Styela clava: one gene and its partner. The protein of the gene in region 1 interacts with the protein of each later gene in a biochemical or structural test. Links are inferred from orthologs where the notes say so. Each region holds a gene or a part of one and is shown in the gene's direction. Other genes may lie near its edges.

Region 1 (12,752 bases):
GGTAAAAATACGGCGCCTAGTCCAATTACAAAAGCCATTACTGTTGTACCAAAATGAGTCCCCATTGCATCAGTCAATGTGGGTGATTGGTTTTTTAATTTTTCTTCATGCCAAGTTCTGTGTAGTGAAAACATATGATCTGAAGCACGTTGGGTAATATTTAACGCAGGATTTATCGGACTTAGATTGTGCATTCCCATCATTGATAATCCACACAATCCCATATAACCATGTAATGCATCTGTAAAAATAAAGATAAAACTGATATGTGAACATAGATTCGGCTCAGAGTTATAGGTAGGTAGAACATTATAAGCCAAGCACTTTATTTATAGCGTTCTGCACAAAGTTTGAGAAGAGCTATAATAAAAGCTAAACGATTGTGCTACTTGTTTTATGTCACAAAATATATCTGAAAATCTGTTCATCAATCAGTTATACATTAAAGTGAGTTATTCTCAGAGTACAAAACTTTTTCCTCGCTTATATATACTATACCTGTTTCAAGGTTTCCTGAATGACCTCATAATTTCATTAGCGGTGGAATTTTCAGTACTCAAATTTCATTACATAAATACCGGTATGCAACAAGCAATTCAAATATTGGTTTAAAAAGAGAAAACAGCATTTAGTATCAAAGATTAATATTAGGTTACCTGGATGGCTTTGTGGCCATTTACCAAAACCGCCTATAACTGAATCTTGCGTTGATATAATATACTGTTCATTTTCATGCCAGTCACACAGTTCCAAAGATCCGATCAACTACAGAAAATATATTGTAGATGAATTTAGGAACATAAATGGATAATAGTTAGAAAAATAGTATCAAAATAAAATGATACATAAGTCTGTTATACTGTTTTACATAATATACATTCGAACAACCCAAGCAGTGCGACCTTTTCCATAAAACTGCAAAATGTGAAGGCCCTTTTGAGAGATAGCAAGTGTAAAAAGACCAGATGAACAAAGTATGGAATAAGAAAAATAAAATATTCTAAGTGAAGACGCAATCAGGTGTCGCGAAAAATTTTGCAAGCTTGAAACTAGTTTTTGATCAATCATATCCACAAATGGATATTCTTTGAAAGCATTCGATGGAGCCACAACAATACTCCATAATCGACTTTCTCACTGAAAAAAAAAATCACCTTCAATGAAGCACCAATCCAGAAGGAATAGCAAGTGTCATCATCTTTATGGGGTCTTCCATGAAATCCTGATTTTTGTCTGTTCAAACACCACCTTTGTAATCTGAAGACATGATAAGTCATTGGAATCACACCCGCAGGTATTTGATCAGTGCAACACAGAAAAGCCTAATTGTCACACTTCCAAAAATTAATTATACCAGATTGTGGAGTGTTTTAAAAATTATATCAGTGAAGAAAGTCTTTTTTAGATTTCAAGCCTAGTCTATTGCAAAGGTCTTAACCTTTTATTCACCGGTGCACATTAACTGGTGCAGGTTATCTATATGAAGTTTCTAAAAAACAGAAACTTGATAATTTTAGTAGCATTATTGGTTGACGAACAAAATTTCAACGTCACCATAAGCCCTATTCCAAGCTGAGTTGATGAAAAACTATTGCTTTATTGCAAATGAAAAGTCGGGATTACTCCAAGGTTTTAAAATAATCTATACAATACAAACCTCATAATTTCCTTCTGTGAAAATGCATTATGAAGTTGATTTAATAATAAAAGAGAAGATATTGCACAATAAGTTGAACCACCGTGACTTTCCTGGCCAGGTCCTTGACCAAAACCACCATCGTATGACTGAAATTTTATAATGCATAAAAGCGTTATCAAACTAGAAGATTAATAAGCCGAAAGTTCAGCGGGCTAGAAAAATAACATTTTCAGCTTGATGCATATATGCTTACTAAATTCATTCTCTGTTTTATAGAGTGTTTTCAGAAGTTTCATTAAGAGGGTCAATAATTGAACTTTATCTGGAGGTTGTTAATTGAATCTTCTTTTGACAATTCATTAACCACTAATATTTCATTCCTAAATTGTGGACAATCAATACCTGATTAACGTAAATGGACAACCGAACCAAAAAAATAAATAACCAAAAATATCTTCAACATAAAAACACTGAAGTATGATAAATAATGCTCTCTTTGGTAAAAAAACATGACATAGGGGGCAAAAATCTCATTAAAACTCAATAGTGAATAAGCATTGAAGCTCTAAAAAAACATTTTTGAAAAGAAACTTTTCAAGTTAAATTTAGGGGCTCCCGAAGTATGCGAACCAAGATGGCGGACATCGGAATGTAATATGTGTACTAGGTTAGGGTTAGGCCATAATTTTAGGTATCAATACTACATAATTTTAGGTATCAATACTACGGGAGGCTCTTGGCTAGTCTTCGAACTGATAATAGGACTAAAATAAGGAAAAATGGAAAAAAATTATCGCCTAACCCTAACCTGTTACCCATGTTACGTTCCGATGTCCGCCATCTTGGTTCACATAATTCGGGAGCACCTAAATTTATTATTTATCATTTGTGCTGGTGTAGCACTACCTGACTTTTAAAAATAACAATTCCCGTACTTACTATTACCTTAGATTTTTTGATATAGCTTACAGCGAGACTTTCATTTATTGGTGAAAAATCATCAAGCATTGTACAGATGCAACTGGCACAATAAATAAATCTCATGTCATTCTCACTTCCATCCAAGGTTGATTCAAAGCTGCATAGAGAAGACAAAATTGAATGGAAATATCAATATCGAAGAAAATACCAAAATTGTTGATCTATGTTTGCGAAAAATTGATGGTCAAATATACTCATGCATATGATGTCATACTGTTATTGGGCACCAGCCAATCAAAATTGATCGTCAGAAAATGCGCTCTCCACTGGTCAAATAATGCTCCAGGGAAGGCCTGCCCAACCTTTTTTGTCTCGCGGGCCACTTTCACGTGACGAAATCAATCGTGGGCCGCAGACGTTTGTACCAAACATTAATAATACCATTCAAGTCCTGATTTCGGTGTAGGTAATTACATAATACAGAAAAGGCGAGTCTATTAACATAAAATCAATCAAATTAATAATTGCTTTCTGGTTACTGGGTAGGGCTGGCAAATTATACGAATATCAAGTCGAATATTAGAATAGCATTTTACTATTCGAATATCTGGTAAAAGGGTCGTGGACATAACACCCGCGAGGGACCTATTCAAAGATTTAATCATTACACAACACAGCTGCTGTTTTTTGACGGCCACGCAAGAAACACACACACCACGTCAAAATTGAGTGTTATATTTGCGTTTTTAGTGTTTTTATTCATTCATTTTCAGTAGCTACGATACTGCTTTAATGTTTAAATGAGCATAATGTGCGCCAATGTCGCGTTTTAGTGGGTTGTTTCGTAAATTTGAAACACCAATACAAGTATTTAATGAAGTACCATAACGAAGATTTCTAAACGAATAGTCGATATATACTGATTTGTGACTAAAAAGTAGCAACGCCATTACGTCAATTTTATCAGAACTATTGACGGATAAGCAGTGACGACATTTCCAAAATCTTATTCAACGTGAACTCAACATGTACAAAAGTACAAACAGAAAAAGACACAAGTCCGGGGACCAGTACCCAAGATATTGTTGACTTTTTATTTTACGTTGGCGATGAAGACGATTAAAGCCGACACAAAAGAAAGCAACCAGAATGAAATTTATTTGCTTAGGCTCCAAGTTCATTCCTATAATTGCGCTCAGCGTTCGTTCTCAATGATAGCACAATATCTTTGAGTTCGTCGAACAGAACGCACAGTTTTGCGAGAAATAAAGAAAAATGACGTTGATGCCCACCACGGTGCAAGACTTAACACATATTAATAATAAGAACCGGCATTTGAATGTAGATAGATGGCAGGAATAATTACACCAAAATCACGAAAGATATATATGTATAGTAAAAAGTATGTAAAAATGTATAGTAAAAATTTAAAAAGTCTGCTTACAAACTTTATAGGGCGGGCCGCGAAAAACAGTTCGGCTGACCGCATGCGGAGTGTGAAAAAAATTCAATAAAAATATAAAAACCTTCAAATAAGCATTTAATTACAATTGCCCAAATGAGTAAAAACTTTAAAAAGATGGCAATTTTAGAAGAGAAAAGTGTTTTTTTCAACCGCAAAATCACCCCCATTCCTTCAATATTAGCCTATACCATAGCTTCAAATGAATTTGACAAAATTCAGTCACCTGCCATCTTTTAATTGTAAAGCTTTCAATCCCTCCAAACATGCAGTTTTATCAACTCTGGACAAGTCATCCCCAAGAATAATTAGACATGCAAGTCCAGTATATGTCATCGCTATGTGTCCACTATCAAAGGTATGTGCCACTTCAGCTACCTATATAACAAATCACTTATTTAGAAATAAAAAGAAATGGTATATTTTTGATATTACAATTTCTAGATACTGTTAAACAGCAACAGAACTTAGGAAAATAAAAGTCGCATAAACAAGCCATTTTATAATTTCAAATGTGAATGGTTGATCTAATTTCAGATATGTGCACACAAGGTGTATAGACCATCTCTAGGTTATGCAAAGGTACGTGTTGGTGTAATTCAACAAAATACCCTGTGTTATCATTAGTCAACAAAAAGGTTGGGTAGGTACTTCATAGTAAGATACAAAAGGAGTATGAGGTAGCTTTAAATAATCCAGAAATTCATATAAAGTATTCAAAAAACCATGACATAATAATTTCACACATTTTTTTTTTGATTTTTCAATCTTCCAGAACAAATTAATTGCTCATTAATCAAGTCAAACAATTTAATTAACAAAGTTTCGTGCACCTTTATGTCCTTATGTGTGGTCACTCCATTTGTAGTTGAACCTCGAAACCCACATTTTCGTTTATTGCTTCCTGAAAACAGTCAAATGTAACTTAAACAAGAAGACTTGAACAACATTACTAGTGATAGGATCCTCACTCAGAGTTACAAATTTAATGTTAAATTAAAAGAAAACAGGCTAATTTATTTGATTTGAAACCAAAACTTATTTCTCACAATTTGTTCAAATAAATGATATGATTACGAGTTCGGGGACTGTCTGTTAGCCAAGTGAATATACCCCCTACCCATAGGTTTCAGTCCTTTTACATAATTTGATGTAAAATAGGCGAACAAAATTAGTTACTTCCATATTGGTACACACATTTCTGGAGCGCCCAATAAAAAGCACCAATTAGTGAATTTCAAATTTTTAGAAATAACAGTTGCTCAATCTTCTCAATATCTTTGTTTTAAAATATTATGACATGAAGTTACCATGCTTATCTGGAACAACTTGAAGACTATAGATCCAATCAATAATCTCTTTCTTAGTTGATGAAGACAACTTATTCAAAGAATTCAATACATCTAGTCCAGATACCGCGAAGAACGCAATGGTCAACCTGTGTATTGAAAAATTACTATTGATTATTTCCATAATTAAATTAGAGATTTGGTATATAAAAATTGCTATTTTACAAAATATCATTTTAATTCAAGTATATTTATATAGCAGTGTTTGGCTATTTCTATATTAAATTGAATATTCAGTAAAAAGGGGGCAACAAATGTGAAGTAGGTACTGTAGTGTAACTAACTTTTCAAAGACATACAGACATAGGTATTCCATTCATATCAAATCAATTGAACTTGACAGACTGCTACAAAATTCAAGCAATAACAATAGTAGTGTTTTCGTGTTGTTGTTTTTTGCAATATTCTGTTTTGAAATAAATTTTTTTTGGAAGACTTGAACTACCGGTAACACTGTACAGTACGGTAGCCTACCTAATAAATAATATGGTACTGTAATATTAATAATACTATATAAATATTGGCATATGTAGTCTTTGAGAAATAATAAACAATCACTATTTATCATTGTAGTCTATATTTTATTGATACAGGAATACCTAAATAACGTATTCAATATTTGCTCACCTGTTGGAGTCCAAAACCTCATATCGACTGGGCAAAACTTGTAATGTTCTTGTGAAAAATCGAATGTGCTTGTCCTTGTCAAACTTCAAGTTGTTTGATTCTGCCATACTTTCAATGATGTGTAAATTGAGTCAGTGTGTAGACTGTCACCAAGCCGACAAAGCAGGACCTCTAGTTCTAGATTATCAGCAACACTATTGGTCGACTCTATTCCTTTCGCTCCTGCACCCCGTGAATCAATTCACCAAGCCCAAGCAATGCAGAAACGAACTCTTGCGCCAACTAGCGCATGGACAATATTGAATAACCAGAAAAGGAAACTAACGAAAGAACATTTTTTTCCGAGTGGACAGCAAATTCCAGAAATCAGGAAGTTGCGAACTGGCTTACCTAGTTCCCAAAAGTCTGAAAGTCTTCGAACGAGAATAATGACTGAAATTTTTACTTACGAGTGGGGTTGTTGAAATCACTGAAGTACACAAATCTAAAAAGCGGATGAAACTTCTTTCAGTAGAGTGGGCGGCTGCAGTTACTAACAGCTGAAATCAAAACAGAAGAATTATCCGTGGATGCTTTTTTTCGACAGAGCAAAGTGGCTGAAGTCGCTAAAATGTTGAAATCTGAAATGTCTTCGTACAGAGGGAGGCTGTTGATTTTTGGTCTTTAGATACAGAGATAACTGAAATGTATTGTAGTTATACCGGTACCGTAACATCTCAGCAATTTATTTTTTGTATTCAATTACTGAATTAGTGCAGTATTTTGAATAATCGAACACGGAACAATTTATAATCACGATACTGTTATATCAGAGTATACAGATGTTCGATGTATTTTAAAAAAAATTACCTTATCTTTATCCTATTTTCAGACTACAATTCTACAAGAATATAAATATAAGACTTATTATCTGCCCTCCACCATTATTTTATAAATTTTTGAATTTGTATAAGTAATTTGTTTTCAGTCCTTTAAAGCCTTACTGGGCTTGGCATGTTGGAGTGAATTTTGTTGTCATTATACGACTTTGCAGAAAATGTAATGATATCCATTTAAAAATTTTTTATTAAGGAAGTACCGTACTATAACAGGCTGTCATTTTCAAGTTACTTATGCCAGTACAGCAGTATGCTAGGTTTATTACACCTCTAGCACACAGTTTATCGATATTCGAGCTGTCGGTTGAATGTTTGGGTCCGGTATAGTTTATATCACATGCACTTCTGGTTGGTCTGGCTCGACAATTATTGCATATGTCAATCCTAACCCCTACCTGACTACGTCACCAAAATATTACGTCACTACGACGCCACAGTAGCGTAATAAATACCTCCAAAGTGTACATATGGTCGTCCAACATGCGCAGATGAAATCGAGCAAGCTATTTCTCTCGTTTTCTCGTTGCAACGAACCCGATATGAGAGAAGGCTGACGTTAGTGAGTTCGGTATAGTCTGCGCAGATGCCATTTCGGACGATGGTAGCTAAACTTGGCAAGCTCTATGACGTGATTGTGAAGTCGTAGTGACATAATTTTTGGATGACATAGTCAAGTGGGAGCTAGGAATAACATGTACAAAAAAACCGAAAGTACTTGTGGTACTAAACTATACTAGACCCAAATGTTTATCCTCACTTCAAACTTTATTCCAAGCTGACTTGTTTATCTATAAGCTATACTATAGCTCTGTTATTGTCGAATGATGACTGAAAACTCACCCCAAATTATAATTGGGAATAATATTGTCACAGACAGTGGGAGAAGTCGACGACTCAGAAGGTAAGCAAATTTATCCCTTTTTCTCATTTTCATACATTTTTTTCTCTGAAATTATTTAGGTTTTTGCATTGTGCATAACAATTATGAATGTCTATTTCAACCCATAAAATCTATTTTTTCCAATTTAACAAATATGATTTATTTGTTTCTCCAAAACAATTTTTTAAAGTTTGTAACGAATATTGTTTAGAAGAAATATGAGGAGAAGTTCTGCTGACATAATCGTTCTAGATAGTCCATCAAGTCCAACCACAACAAATAGTTCTGTAATACCGAGACGTCGTAGAAGAATGCTTCCAGAGTTGAACACCGACGCAGATACTAGCATTGGTAAATTTCAATGAGTCTCTGTATGCTCTTTTGTTTATCTCCAGCTGTATTTTTAACATAGGCTACATACGGTATGTTTTTTTTTTAAAAGATTAATAATTGGGTACTCAAAAAACAGTATGATGTTTTAGTGTGAAGCTAAATCAGTTTTTCATTGAGGTAGTTTTATAGACTAGTTTTTCAAGGGATATTCTTTCAGGTTTTATCAATAATTCCAGCACATTCATAATGACTTTTCATTGAAGTCAATTGCTTCTCCCTTTTTAACACTTATACATCTTCACGCTGAACGAGAATCTTGTCAAGTAGCACCTGATATGTAATGAGCTACCAAGGTGAAGAAACAACCAGTTTGCCAAAATAATTCAGGACTTCAACAGGTTATAAAATCATTTGTACATGCCTTGTATTTTTTCTAGTTGATTTGACCTGTTCTCCAGATGCTATTGTTGATCTAACCTCACCAGATTTTAACACAGCAACAAGAGAGGTTGGTATATGTCAAAGCAGTAAAAAATTGTTTGTTTTATAATATGATACTAACTGCTATAAGAAAGGAGTTGTACCCTTCAGATTTTAAAATTTGTGTGGGCTATATACTTATGCCTTCGAAGCCTTTTGTCGGATAAAAGCAGTCAAATCAGCTCAGCACTTTTAACTGGCATTATTTTTTTTTTCTATTTTACATTAGCCTGCGCCAGTAACATTTGAAATCAGTGATGGAGAGGAGGAACTAAATGAATCTGTCGAAAGTCCAACTCCCACACAACCTGCGCTGTCGTGTCCTGTTTGTTTAGAAAGGTTCTCTAAGGTGCTGTACTTTTTCTAATTTACTTTTGAGGCTACTACTAATTTAATCATCTTAGTGGGAACTTGAAACTATTGTATGAGCAATATTGGCTATGTTTTTCTATGTTTGGGTTTCCCAACCAGTCCTCTATAGTTCAGTTTTGTCAATAAGCTTGTTATGTTATGAAATCAATCATTGTTATACTGATAATATTCGGATACAGATATCATATATTGTTGTGATATTTGCTTTATTCATCTGGGCTCTGTACTCCTGTTATTCTAAACAAAGCTTTCATATAACGCTGACACACTTGATTGTTTACAACAGGGGTCGGCAACCTACGGCCCGCGAATCCGGCCGGCGACGCTTCACTGAATTATAGGAACAAATTATAGCTGTTTTGTCGATTATATTGTTTACGCAAAAGAATTTACGTGTAGACTAAATTATATTATAACGCAATAAATATATAATTCACCATTACTCGTTTAATGAGCGTATAATTTAATTATAATTTAGACAAATGGCAACAAAACGCAGAAAAGTTAATGCTAAGTGCAAATGGTTTAATGGCGCAAAAAAAATTCAAATGGTCAGTCTTCGTGCGCTGCTTAAAATTTAACTTATGATCTGTGTGATAAAATGTGATTCATCGGTCATCCATTCAATTTTTAACTTTCTAAAAATATGTGCGGCCTGCCAATGACTTGCAACCTTTAATTTTGGCCCGCGAGCGACAAAAGGTTGCCGACCCCTGGTTTTTACAACTTTATATATGTTATTGACTTGTATCACAAACACTATTTCATAATTTACAATGGTGGATTGACTATTCACAATGTTGAATACTCATCTGTTTTTTGCATGAAACTATTATATAAATCCATTAATGAATGCCATTTTTGAATTGTATTGATTATGCAAATGACTCATGGCAATATTCCTTTTTCCAGATTGTTCGAAATGGAGGTCAAGTAAAATCGACAATATGTGGTCATATATTTTGTAACGTTTGCATAGCAACTGCAATACATCATAATAAAAAATGCCCAACTTGCCGAAAGAAATTGGATTCTAGGAAAGTACATACTCTATACTTGCCCGTTTGAAAAAAACTTGTTCTTGCTGAATTGACTCAAAGTCATAAAAAGCTAGTTTCTTGTTTGAAATGCACTTTTTTCTCACATTCCTTCCTTGTGTAAGTTTTTTGTGTTTCCTATCATTGCATATTTAGACTAAAAGCTGCATTTTTTCAAAATGGCGACTTTTAGCAAGCGCAGGGTAAAGTTGAAGTTTTTCTGCCTTTGACAAAATGTGATTTTTCCACTCTAAAGGCTCTAAAATATATCTTGTGTTGTGATCACTGCCTATCATATGTTGGGCATCCATCTGCTCATTTAGTGTCATGGTTGTTATTACTAATTTAAACACATTCAAAATTGGATCTTGTATGAAGCGTCCATATTTTTTTTCCGAAATTCAGAAAAAATATTTTCAAATATAAAATATACTTTGAATGTGGCTCTATCAACAAACAACATACACAATTCATTGTATATTTACAAAGATTGATGTTTATACCACTGAAATTTTAACACCAGACGGTATTGAGATTGGTTTACTGTTTGTTTACAGTTGTCAGAATTAAGGCAAAGCAGTTATTATTCGTGGAATATTTAGTTAGATGTCAGAATAACAATTCACTATTGATAACTTTAAAATCAAGGTCCACTATATCGAATATAATGTATTTTTATTATTCGATTTATTTTGAACATCTATTCTTCAATTACTGAATATTTTCATGATACAAGTAAATAATTCTCAATTGGATTTTGGCACAGTCTTGTTATACATGTTTTGTAGCGTTATGCTATGAAGGATGTTCCCTGTTGATTGATTACTGTAATTATTGGTATTGCATCTCATAACAGTGTTTGTTATGGTTCATTTGTCTTCACCATATGAATGTGTGTATGATGCACGCAAATTCTCACAGTAGCAATTCCTATTTAAACTTTGCCAAATAAAACCCTTCCATTGATAACACTGCATAAAGGGTCTTTTTGGATGATCTCTGCTAGGCAGAAATGTATAAAACCTGTGAATTCTTTATTGTCGCTTGTTATATTCTATTCAAATTTCTTTGTTGTAAGTTGAACAAAACCATTGAAACTATAGGACTGGCATATTTTTCAATGAACAAGTTGCATGACTGCCTTTCACTCTCAAGCTTTCGGACACATTGTGAAACTTGTTTTTGTGCGTATACTTATATTACTGGCGAAATTGTCTTAGCAACTATTCATTTCTGAGATGGCAGGTTATATGAGCTGCTGTGCTGCTCTTTTACTATGAAATTTTTTTCTGTGACACAATAAAAAACCTTACGGATTGACTGGTAAATCCATATAAATCAATATAGATTTTAACTCTTTTGACAGATTATCTCAAGCTCTCAACTACAAGAGCAGAGATTTTAGGTGGCATTAACATGGCATTTGAAAACAATTAGAGTCAATCTTGTCAGGCAACAGCTGATTGAAAACTAGTTCAAGTGAAAATTTGATTATTTACATGGCTTTTCCCAATCAACCGATGGTAGGCTCACTATTGGCGACCTGAATACATATTAAGCAGGATCAATATGATGTGCTGACGCTTTGGCATATAATAAGTAGTATAGCCACAGACGAAGGCATGTTTTTAACTCTGAAACGCCCAAAATAATTTATTATAGTCTGTTTCACTCACGACCATGACTTGCGGAGTCGCGGAAAATTCGCAATAGACAAAAAATCTGTCTCTCGGCTGAGGGAAAAAAACTAGACTGGAACTAGACACCAGTCCCGAACACCGAGAAAATCAAAATTTGGTAGTGAATACTTGGGCGTTTGAATGTCTACGTTTCCGACTCCAGATAATTTAGACTCCGTCTCACAGGAGTTTGAAAACACGACTCTTGACTCTAGAGAAAATATATTCGAAATTCTCGATTCCACAGCACTGCTCACGATCTCCGAATCGGACACTTGGTTGGGACGCAGCAACAAAGTCTCGTTTTCTACCAATTGAAGCCTTAAAAAATACAGTTTTAAGTTTAAGTAATTTTCGGAGAAAGTCGTGTAACCAATTTCCTTATAACTTAGATGGTGTTGTTATTGTTTGTGATAACAAGATTTTTTCCACCTTCCTGCCTCGAAGAATATCTTTTGAAATAACACACCAGTTAATGAAATTCTATATTTTTTGGTAGCGAGCCAAATAATAAAAGATTTTATTATTCCTTTTTCGCCCTCCGTTTTTTCTTCCGTGACGTCTGATTTTCTGTAAATTGAAGCATACTTTTCTTAATAGCTTCTCGAGATAGATATTTATCGTTCGTATCATCATCATCTCCGAAGAAATCCTCTGTCATCAACAAGTCATCTTCATCAGCTATGCAGACCCGCGTATTGCCTGGTGCGCTGCTTGTAGCGGTCACAAGCAGTTCTTGACCTTCTTCAGTGGGAAATTCAGCAAGGAGATCCTGTGAAAATGTGTAATCATTCTACTCGTTGTCCAAGCAAGGCTTTCGAAAAGCTTATGATTAAATAGTCGAATACTCCATCAAATATACCTAGCAGCATGTTGGAAAATTCGTGTTTGAATATGTGGGTGTGAAGCCCCATGGCAGGTAAGGTGTAAAATTTCCATATTTGTCGCGGGTAATTAATGACATCTATCGTTTTTGTTGATTCGGTTCATTGGAATCTATGTACCGTAGGCTAATCTATCAATTCTACTTACTTCTTTGGTTTGACGAAAGGTTTCTGCCATTATTTGGAGTTCTTTGAGTTTATCTCCACATGC
Region 2 (11,621 bases), on another chromosome or scaffold:
GAAATAGCGAATAGGCATTAGAAAACTCCGAAGCCTCATTAGTCTCTGGGATAAATCAACTTTTTGGCAAAGAAAACACACCTTAGATGGGTTGAATGACCTTATATTATCTATACGATTATAAATAATGTAATTTATTAGTTGAACAAATTTAAGACAGTCTGCGTGTGTTAATGATTATAGAGTGTTAATCACGTGGTAAAGGGGTGTGTACTATCTGTTCTCAATGCCCAATCAATATCAAGAATTTGAGTACCGTTATCCATGCGACGCTTTTTTATTCGCGTTTCGTAGTATCATCTTTGCCAAATATTAGATAAAACTGTAAGGTAAATATTAATGAAGATAATGCGTTAGAATTCTGAGAGATATTAGTTTGCACCCCAAACATTGCGCTACTCAGGCGAGCAAGTATGTGTTTACCAAGTATTTCAGTTAACATAAAACTGGTTGTCGTCGCCTGTTTATGTTTGAATAGTACATCACTTTTATATTCGATTCATTTTGAAGTTTGTATGTATATCCATAGAAGTTCATTCGAGTTTCAACAGTGTAGGTCTCTAGGACCTAGGTAACGCTTGTCAATTGCGTCAATAGCATGCAGGCGAAACAGGATGACAACTGTTTTTCCGGGCTCAAAATTTGTTGTAAATCTTGTGTGTTTTTGCATAACAATGCTGCAAACTGCTTTGTATTTTCTAAAATCAGATTAGAAAGCGGTTTGATCATTCTTGGGGTTCATTTCTTGTGAAACACAACAACTAACAAGTAATATGTTGTATCAAAATATGGTGTGATGAACAAAGAAATACAATGTCACATCACAATTTTTGTCATTTATGTAACAGTACTTGACTAAAAAGCCTCGTCGACTAAAAAACCTTGTCGACTGCTTTGACGTTATTCGAATTTGATTATTTAATCTTCGTCAACACGATTGTAAGAAAGTGCATCATAAACTCAATCAACATTGGGTTCTTTCAGCAATTTACAGCTTGAGTAATTTGCACAACATGTTTACGACCCTCTTTACCCCAGAATAATCAGTCGAAACATAATCAAATAAGATGGTGCGCAAGGTTCTACTTTTAAAATGCTACCGCGTACCTTATGTTAGTCATCTTTCATACAATTGAATACCAATATGGTGATTATTAAATTCAGTCCTCGACCCACATTTTCAAAGGTGTTAGCTAGTTCTTGTTTTTATTTTGGTTTAAGGGCCCAGATGTCATTCCAGACATCGTTACAGTTGGGAAACCGATGGGAAATGGTCATCCTGTGTCAGCCGTTATTACAACAAAAGAGATTGCAGACAGTCTTACTAACAAATTGCCTTCTTATTTCAACACGGTATGTATGTCAGCAACCCTGTGTTTTCACGCGGTTAGCAATCGCGATGGAAATTACACACTGTTATGAGAGCTGACACTAAACACCAAAATTTGACGTCATGAGATTAATTCATACTATAAACATACATTGACTGGGCTTGTACTGGTTTTAAATCAAGAAAATTACCGCAAAGGGATATACGACAATGACTTGTTTTGAAATGACTCAAACACTCGACCTCTTAAGATGGTATTTATGATTTTAACGCATTTTCTAATCAATATCGAAAAATAGGTTCTGCTATACATCTCGAAAGTCGAAAGCAATTGGCTTTTAGCAAATGGTTGATTCATCAGTTACTATAACACTTTGAAAAGTTGAATTTAAACATCGAGCTCAATTCTCTAAGGTTTAAATAAGCCCGTATCGCATCGTGATTTTTACACTGGTATTCTATGTCGCAATGTGAGATTGTCCATGTAGTACTTTTACGGGCAATGATTTCATATTTTCGAACTTAAGAAATTATTGTTTGTATCCTTGAATAGTTAATGTTTTTTTGCTCATTTACGAACTGCGATACAGAACATGGATGACCTCCTCTATCATTATATGACATATTGTTCTGTACTTTTTAGTTCGGCGGAAACCCGGTGTCATGTACAATCGCCAACACGGTGATGGATATCATTGAAAATGAAAATTTAATGGAAAACGCATCTTCTGTTGGAAAATATCTTCTTGAGAAGTTTGAATTGCTCAAAAAAAAACACAAAATTATCGGAGACGTGAGGTCGGGATTTTTGGATTTTTCCGACAAAATTACTTCAGACTTATGCTTTTGATTTATTCAGCTATCGTTTACCAGACGAAATAGATTCAATTTCCGCCATGATTTTAAATGTTTCATATTGTAATTCCCTTGTGACGATATATTGTTATTTGTTGTCACATGAAATTTTTATTGCATTGAGTTGTCATTTTACAAGAATAGCTAGCTTGGTCGATGCAGTTGATTTAAATTTTCATTGTAGAAAATTACAATATGTTTTTCATGGCAGGGGTGTTGGACTTTTCATTGGAGTTGAACTGGTGCGTGATGAAAAAACGAAAGAACCTGCAACAGAAGAAGCTGAAGTCATGTATAATAGGTAAAGCACTTTGCATTGTAGTTGCTATAATATGAAGGAATGCAGTACTGACTGGCTCAGTTTTTTTTGGGAAGCACCAGTTGTGAATAAAAACGGTTATGGGTTAAATATTATTTTAATTGTAACATATGTAGACTGCCGCCGGCCTGTATGCGCTTCTCGATTTCACCACCATTCATTTTATTCTCGCTTGTTTGGCGTAACAGTTGCTAAACAGAATTCTACTATTTCAATCACTACAAAAAGCCAAGGTTGTGGATGAGGAGAGTTACAATTCGATCAACAAATCTTTAGGCCGCTGATTCCCAGACCTTCACCATGATTTGTAGCCCTCTACAAAGACACCCAACACTATGTGGCACCCTGCTCTTCAAAACAAATGTTTTTAATGGGTTTCTTTCCATCAGTTTTTTTTTTATTCGCCACGTTATATGGAATGAGGAGAAAAGCCATAAATTGCTATGGCTAGTTAGTATCTTCAAAACCTAAATTAGAAGACTGATATCTCTATCTGAGTGTTCAGCAATCATTCGTATATTTTTCTGATTTTGCAGGATGCGTGATCGGTACATATTGGTGAGCCTGGACGGTCCATTCAACAACGTCATGAAGTTCAAGCCACCCATGTGCTTCACTTACGATAACGCAGATCAACTTGCTGAGGTATGGATAATGTATAACGCAGAACTTTATAAAAGAAAAGCCTAGAAACTCGCCTTACTGCAAAAATTTACATTGAATTTGAACAAAACACAGTCACAGAAAACGCTGTAAGGCAGGGATAGACAAACTGCGGCGTGCGAACTAATTTCCCGCGTAACTTAATTTAATTTGTTACCAACGACGGAACGTTCATCAAGTAATTGACATAGAATTGATTCCAGTTATTACAAAACAAGCGCCGTACAGCAGCACTTGTTACCACATAAATCCGGGCGGAAGCAACAATAAATTTAGGATCAATTTTTGTTTTATGCATTAAAAGTCGGTTCGTTCGAGGGAATGTCTGGGAAACGGAGGGAAGTTTTCGGCGGTCGAACATTCCAAAGTGATTGGACGGAAAAATATTTTTCTTTTTTTGCGCATTCCAAATCCAGTTTGCTTGATATGCACAGTCAGCATCGCAGTTATTATGATACTTAATGTTAATCGTCATTATAAAACATTATAAAAACACATATTGCTGTGAGTAGATTTATTTAAAATGTATTACACTAAGAATAAATTTCGTACTCGCTGGTCAGATCGTCATTTGTTTGGACGACGTACCGCGGAGCAAAATAGTTGCCATTTAATTTTAACGCTTTGGTCATGACACAGGAAAAACATCATCCTTCACATATAATAAGTAGATAAAAACAATGCATTGTTTGATTATATATTGAAAAAGACCACATATACGCCTCATTGTGGCAGGCTTTGACACAGCAATAGAAAGTGAGAGTGCGCCTGACTTTGAAGTTTAATGTGGCGAGTGTTCGTAGACGATAATAATGCGACCCGCACGCTACTGGAAATGTGTATATTTGGCCCGCAAGTACATAAAGTTTGCTGACCACTGCTGTAATACAATAATCTATTACCGCCTTGTAGTGTTGATCTACAAATTATAATTTCCCGAACCAATTAAACCTATGTACTTAAACTAATAATTTGCTGTATTGTAGATATTTGATTATAATATAAAATTTAATCCTATTTCTTTCGTAGGTTTTGGACGATACTCTGTCTCAAATTTCCTGCTGATCCGTGATACACAGCTGAACACCAACGTGTTTTTCTCGTTATAGAGATTTATACATATTATGAGTCGATCAAAAATTATCATTATAATTCATGCATCGAGAGCTATTCATATATGTACTATTAATATTTGAACGCGCTGCAATGCAGTTTTCAAATGAGCAAAATATGTCGCACCTAATACAGCATGTTGATGTATATCACTTTTTTAAGTAAAATAACTCGCCCTTTGTGTACAATTTGTAAACATGCACTTTTTAAATCAAAATATGAAATAATATAATTATTACAGCCATAATAGCGTAATAATCTTACTTGTAATACCATTAACCGTGTTATTAATTGTTGTTATAATAATTGATTTTTGTGTTATAATTTTATGTTAATTAGTTTCATAATTAACAGAAAACATTTTGAGATATTTTTTGTGTTGTTTCATTATTTTTGGGGTTATCCGTAACATAAGAAAAATTTGTCTTTTTTACCTGCCTGACAGATGCGAATGAAATAATTGGGATTGATAAAACGGTATGTTTTGTAGAATTAGAGAGCATCGACCAACTGCGTCTTTGAGCGCCAGAAAATTAGGAATACCTACGTAGTTTAAATAGCTTCTCATGAAATAAATCAGAAAAATCGTTGACATATTGTTGGTATATCACTACTGTGACTGAATTGAATAGTATGATGGCTAGCTGAAGCAACTAGCGAAGTTGAAGATATGATGGGCAGTCTAAATTGTTACCTGGATTTCTATCGTTTTGGTCGGGAATTCGTATATGCTTACAACATAGGCAACATGATAGAATACTAAACATCGGATGCGGATTCCATTAGTCTAGGTTGACAATACCAGATAACCAAGTGTTTACACAATAGAAGTGCTTGTTTTGTATTGCACTGTTTACCTATTCTTGGTACTATTGTGGCCCGCGGAGCCCACAACTTTGGACCACCCTGCTCTATTGTATTGGTTCTTTACCAGGAGTTCGGCGGAAGTCCTCTGAAATGTTTGACATATTGTTCTGCGACAGGTACCAATTCCACTAATGAATTGTCGGATTTGAAATTTTAGCATTTCTTTGCTTGATTTTGACGATTTAATTTATTATTCTGCTTCTTGCCTACATCTTGAGGCTGAATTTGTCAGACGGTGCATCACACTGAGCTGAACGGGTTGGTAATACTTGAACCGGGTGATGGCCATATTTCGTAAAATAAGATTGACATGTTATCATCTTTCGACTCCCGAAGATAAATGTAAAAATCCACCGACTGCGAGTGATTGTTCATTCAATGACAATCGATTTTTGAATAGCTGGATTATTAGCGCGGCTTTCGCGCGCAGTATTATTTCATTTCTCGTGCTCACAACACTAAATTAGCCCAATTAAACCACTTTGATTGACTCCTCTATTAGCAAGCCATTCACAACTGTGCATGTGACATATGTGCTATTTTAATTTGCTGTCACCTCGTGTAGAATAGGTGTCAATATGCTATTAGGAATATACTTACTCCATTGCACTGATGGGCATAAAATCCTCATTTAAACCAATGACTAACATACCGTCTAAGTTTTTTAGACTTACAAAACAAAAAACCGGAGCTATGCGGATTGTACAAATCTTGGTTCGATTCTGAGGCTTAGTAATATCCAGCTCATTAGTTATCGATCTTACGATCGGTAAGTATGTTGATAGGTATTTGTCTGTTTGTTTGTTTGTCTGTTAGATGCACGCGATATCTCACGATAGCGAGGTTGAATCTTCTCCAAATTTTGCATGTGCATTCATCATAGCTCGGATCAGAAGCCTATTGATTTTTGATAAATTATGTCGTATAATTAGCGAGTTATTAATTAATTAGTGATGGGACACACGGTGTCACTATGGAGTAAGAACGCTGTTTTGGGGGATCCCCTAACCGACGATCGATAACTCTTCGGTCTCCGACCGATATTCTCGTATAAATATTATTACTATTCAAGCCACCGGAGAACGTGCACTTTCTTTTTACTTCTGTAACATTGGCTAAAATCAGCAAGATATAATGGTGACGTTAATAATTTATAAGCCCTCAGACAACTTTTCCCCAAATTTATATTCAGAAAAGATTCCCACGAAGATATTTACAGGCATGGTGGTGAAGTCCATGCTTCGGAAAAACAAATATCTAACTAATCCCATACCCGACATGGAATGGTAACCGGACGAGAGGACGTGGTTCGCCATATGGTTGAGCCGTCAAATCGGCTTTCCTCTACCCCGGGATAAATATGTAAATCTTATCCTTACTTTAGCTTATTGTTATGGTTTTGTATGCTATTTGTCAGTTTTCAGCTGTACTTAGCCGTTAATGTCTAGTTGATTAGCAAATGTTACAATTTGCCAGTATGTAAATCCTATCCTTATCAACGTTTCTTCTTCAGCAGTCTCGTGATAAATATGGAAATCGCATCTTTCATCACGGGAATTCAATGGAGTGCGACTCACTTCACAGTGGTGGTATCATAGTACCGGTAGTCTTGTTTTAATGAGGAAGTTCCGGCCATGCTACCGGGAGTTTTCCATCATTTTAGTGTGAGTTTGTCTTGCGATAACTAGGTACAGAGGTAAGGTCGGAAGTCGGAACCTAAGTATAGTTTTAAGTTTATCACTTCACAAACAAATTCATGAGTATCGCAGATACTAGGGTTTAATTCGCTACCGTACATTACTGTAGGTGGCATGTACGGTATTTCCTACTCCATTGATTACCTGGCATAGCATATCTGCATATTGTACTGGAGCACAGGATCATTCGGAAATTGTCATTAATACAGGAATAATAGCGAAGTGCAATTGATAATTGTTTGAGGCGATTCTTGCCTGAGAGGTCTAACACCAATTTTATGATTCTTTTCTACAATTTTAAATCATCAAATAGCTAGCTATTTTTAGGCTAATTCTGTAATATGACTCTTTGAAGTTACAAATATTGATTTGGATTAAAGTACTGTACGCTACTCACTACAGGAATATTGGTAATGGCTAATTTCAAGCAAAAACGGATTAGTAAAGAAATACAAAATCTAGCAGTGAGACCACCACCAGGTGTGAAACTTCTAAACCCTGATGACACTTCATTGGCACGCGTAACCATGGAACTCACTGGTGCAGACAACACTTTGTATGCGAAGGAAGTATTTAATCTTGTATTCATATTTGGGGATAAATATCCATTTGAGTCGCCTCAAGTCATGTTTACTGGCAACAAAATTCCAGTTCATCCTCATATTTATAGCAACGGACATATATGTTTATCCATATTGACAACAGATTGGAGTCCAGCACTTTCTATTGAGTCTGTTTGTCTGAGTATCATATCTATGTTAAGCAGTTGTAAGGAAAAGAAAAGGCCTCCCGATAATTCAATATATGTTATGAGGGCCAGCAAGAATCCTAAAGATACAAGTTGGTGGTATCATGATGATAACGTGTAATTGTTTCAAGATATATCTTACAACAAAGTGTGCTTTGTTTCTGCTTATCACCAGTGTTCTTTTGGGTCTGTCAAAACTCTAAATGAACTTTAAACTATGTGTATAGGAGTTTTAAAAACAGACAGGTTGTGCAATTTATAATATTTGATGTGGCCTTTGTTTTAATTATATCATAGATTCCTTAAACTCTGATACAAATTCTTATTTTTGTTTATCGCTTATAAATTGATAAGCTATCAAGAAAACAACCAAGATTAACACAATGGATTCGTTTTTCGGCGAGTTATATATGTAGATGTCATGATTCAAACTTGTAGTCACAAAAACTTGGCATCACGAAGCGCAGCCTATTCAACTTATTATAGGTTTCAAGCTTTATTTTGGAGCAGAGTTTACTGCGCTCTTATTGCAGGCCAAGTTTAATTTTATTATTTTAAAGTGCACCAATAAATGCTATGTGAATTGTATGCAATACTGTGCTATAGCTTAATTTATGTAATATTTTAAAATCACTATGTTCTGAGTATTTTAGCAGCTTCTAGATAATATTCTACTTCATTGTCTTGTCAAATTTTAAACACACTCTTTGATATATTTTCTTCTCTTAACAATAGCATATTTGATAAATTTTCTTTGCGAAATTATGTTTTTCTAAACTTAAGCCATTCTTGTCTTATATATCCATTAAAATCTTTTTTGAATTAGAGTCCTAGTTAAACCACTGCAACCGTGTTTGTGCGAAACTGATCGATTACCGGTATGTTAAACTGGTTCAATATAATCTCTAAAGTAATTCAATAATTGCTCATATGCAATTTCTTTACTGTCCAGAGCTTTGCTAAAATTGAAGTATACTGGTTTCGTATGCTAGCTTAAGGTTTCATGCATATTATTTAAATTTTACTGTTAGACTAAGTATGATCAATGTTTTTATTATTCACATGATCAGATTTATTCTGTATTTGGTATGGCGACAAATTTATTCAGAGTATAATTGAAAATAGCTACAATAATTAAGAAAAAGTTCTATCCTTTTCGCAATTTGATATCAATCTTTGTTTTGTCTTGCACTATTTTTCATAATGCGCATAATTTGTTTTATTTTTTGTTTCTTTATTTTTTAAGTATTTTGACTGGAAGCAATCTGGCATCCACCTTGTTTCGATCTGTGCGAAGGATACATTCAATTAATTTATCTGCACCGAAATTACAGCAAAAGGTTTTCATACGTCAAATTTCAGTAAAGAAGATGGATGTTTCACAGCATATTCTAGAAAATGAAACTGAGGTTTGCCACCTTGATTGTGTCACAGCATTTAAAGCTTTGAGCAAGAGTGAAAAATTGTATTCACATTATTTGGGAAAAGCATCATTCTATGGTGGACTGATTGTCCTGCACCAAACTTCTCCCGAGTCACCAAAAATATTTTGTCTTTTGATGAAAATATTTTCAAAGCAGAGTGCAGAAGCAATTGCAAAAATTGCTGTTGAACAATGTGGATTTTCAGCAGAAGATGTAACAGCATTCAATGTTTACATTGCTGGGTTTCTGGCAAACATGGGAAACTATAAAGGATTTGGTGACACAAAGTTCATCCCTGGAGTTCCTCAGGAGAAGTTCATGAAGTTGGTCATGTGTACAGATGCATATCGTCAAGAACCGGAGCTCATTGAGTCCTTGATGCAAGCATGTGCTGAAGGAACTTATTCTCTGAATGAGAACAACAAACAACTGGGTTTAAAGGGGAATGGAATCACAGCGTATTTCTCACTCAATTGCGACAAAGCTGATGCTGAAATGATACAAAAATTTCTGGATGCAAAATCTATAAGTGCCTATAACACTAGACTATTTAAGAAAGAGTTGGATGATGGAAAGTACAAGTATGAAGTCAGGCTCGCATCAGTTTCTAAAACTGATGATAGTGGTGATAAACTTCCTTATTTAGGTGACCATGAATTTGAAGGTCACTCAATCACAGTTCAACGTGGGGATTATAGTGTTTTGATGAAAAAAGTGGTAGAAAATTTGGAAAAGGCGAAAGCTAATGCTCTTAATGAAAATGAAGCCTCTATGATTAAGGAATACATTCGTTCTTTCACAAGTGGTGATCTCGAAGCACATAAAGAAGGTTCCCGATTTTGGATCCGAGACCAAGGACCTATTGTAGAATCTTATATAGGGTTCATTGAGTCATACAGGGATCCTTTTGGAACAAGAGGTGAATTTGAAGGATTTGTTGCTGTTGTCAACAAAGAAATGAGCAAAAAATTTGCAAATCTTGTTGCATCATCTGATACACTCCTGAAACATTTGCCATGGCCTAAGGATTATGAGAAAGATACATTTTTGCGTCCAGATTTTACATCTCTTGATGTTCTTGCTTTTGCTGGCAGTGGTATTCCTGCTGGTATCAATATACCAAACTATGATGACATTCGTCAGTCGGAAGGATTCAAGAATGTATCACTTGGTAATGTGTTATCTGCAGCGTATTCTGTAGGAAAAAAAGTATGGTTTCTTTCCGATGAAGACCAGGCTATGTTCAAGGATTACAAAAGTAAATCTTTTGAGGTTCAAGTTGGATTGCATGAGTTGTTAGGACACGGCAGTGGGAAATTGTTCAGCACAAAAGAAGATGGAACCATGAATTTTGATAAAGAAAAAGTCATCAATCCATTGACAAATAAATTAGTCAAAAAATGGTACAAATCTGGTGAAACGTGGGATAGCAAATTTGTTGAACTTTCCTCACCATATGAGGAATGTAGGGCAGAATGTGTGGGATTATACCTGTGCCTCAACAGGGATGCACTCAAGATTTTTGGACATGAAGGACAATCTGCCGATGATATCATTTATGTCAATTGGCTAAATATGGTTTGGGCAGGAGTTCAAGGCCTTCTGTACTACACTCCAGAAAATAAAACATGGAGGCAAGCTCATATGCAAGCAAGATATGTCATTCTCAGAGTTTTGATGGAGGCTGGTATTGTGACTGTTATGCACACTACATGCAAAGATGACGGAAAGCCAGATGCTCTTATCACTCTTGATCGTTCACTCATAGAGACCAAAGGTCAAAAAGCAATTGGTGATTTCTTGTGCAAACTGCAAGTCTACAAATCGCACGGCGATTGTGAGACTGCCAGAGTTATGTGGCAGAATTATGCAACTGTGGGATCTGACATACAACCCGACATGTTAAAATTGAGACAGACCGTCATCTTACGACGTCAACCAAGAAAGTTATTTGTTCAAGATAACACCATTAATAAAAGTGAAGAAATTAATTTGGTTTCTTATCCTGCCACCCATTCAGGCCTGATAGATTCGTTTGCAGATAGATTCAGAGATGATGACATTTATGAATTGTTGAAAAACTGTTAACATTTAGCAAGCAACTTATCATCCTGACAGTTCAAGCTGACAATGATGCATTGGTATTGGGAAGCCTTAGTTAAGTAGTTTCCCTCTTTTTTTGGTGCATTCTTTAACCTATTTTTCAAACTCTTCATTCCTCCCCACTATATATAAAAAGTTTTGTTTGAATTTGTTATTCAATCTTGAATAGAACATTTGCTTGTGATATGTGCAACTAGCCTTCTGTACAGTTTAAACATATGCATATCTATGTTTCACAATAATACTACATGCAAATATAGAGTAATATTTAAATTCCTGCTTGGAGAGGAATAGGGAAACATTGGCCCTAAAGAATCTAAATTTTTCGCTACATGATTCAATGGCAGTATCATGTCAATTACTTGCCATCAAAATAACATTTCAATACTACAAGAACCATTATAACTATTAATTGGGAACCCAATTTATGTGTCAAACATTTCAAGCTAGCATTCCTAATGAATGACAAAATCTGTTTTTTGCTTGATCAAATAAACCAAAT

Evidence for each region.
Region 2: the proteins of uncharacterized protein LOC120346365 (region 1) and ubiquitin-conjugating enzyme E2 W-like form a complex in vitro, tested with the Homo sapiens proteins (2 studies listed by BioGRID). The link is inferred for Styela clava from reciprocal best matches to the Homo sapiens genes RNF4 and UBE2W.

What each region holds. Positions count from the first base shown.
Region 1 is NC_135257.1:12,949,870-12,962,621, reverse strand, and holds uncharacterized protein LOC120346365, read left to right. Parts: upstream 1-6,441; 5' UTR 6,442-7,697; coding exon 7,698-7,777; intron 7,778-7,967; coding exon 7,968-8,107; intron 8,108-8,526; coding exon 8,527-8,597; intron 8,598-8,798; coding exon 8,799-8,918; intron 8,919-9,853; coding exon 9,854-10,009; 3' UTR 10,010-11,316; downstream 11,317-12,752. Other genes in the region: geranylgeranyl transferase type-1 subunit beta-like, read right to left, coding at 1-241, 657-765, 1,155-1,257, 1,658-1,785, 2,585-2,717, 4,249-4,400, 4,856-4,926, 5,333-5,460 and 1 more; uncharacterized protein LOC120346363, read right to left, coding at 12,181-12,429, 12,690-12,752. UniProt on the Homo sapiens protein: E3 ubiquitin-protein ligase which binds polysumoylated chains covalently attached to proteins and mediates 'Lys-6'-, 'Lys-11'-, 'Lys-48'- and 'Lys-63'-linked polyubiquitination of those substrates and their subsequent targeting to the proteasome for degradation.
Region 2 is NC_135258.1:12,635,415-12,647,035, forward strand, and holds ubiquitin-conjugating enzyme E2 W-like, read left to right. Parts: upstream 1-7,136; 5' UTR 7,137-7,257; coding exon 7,258-7,713; 3' UTR 7,714-8,838; downstream 8,839-11,621. Other genes in the region: ethanolamine-phosphate phospho-lyase-like, read left to right, coding at 1,222-1,353, 1,974-2,128, 2,397-2,486, 3,041-3,149, 4,197-4,232; dipeptidyl peptidase 3-like, read left to right, coding at 8,963-11,104. UniProt on the Homo sapiens protein: Accepts ubiquitin from the E1 complex and catalyzes its covalent attachment to other proteins.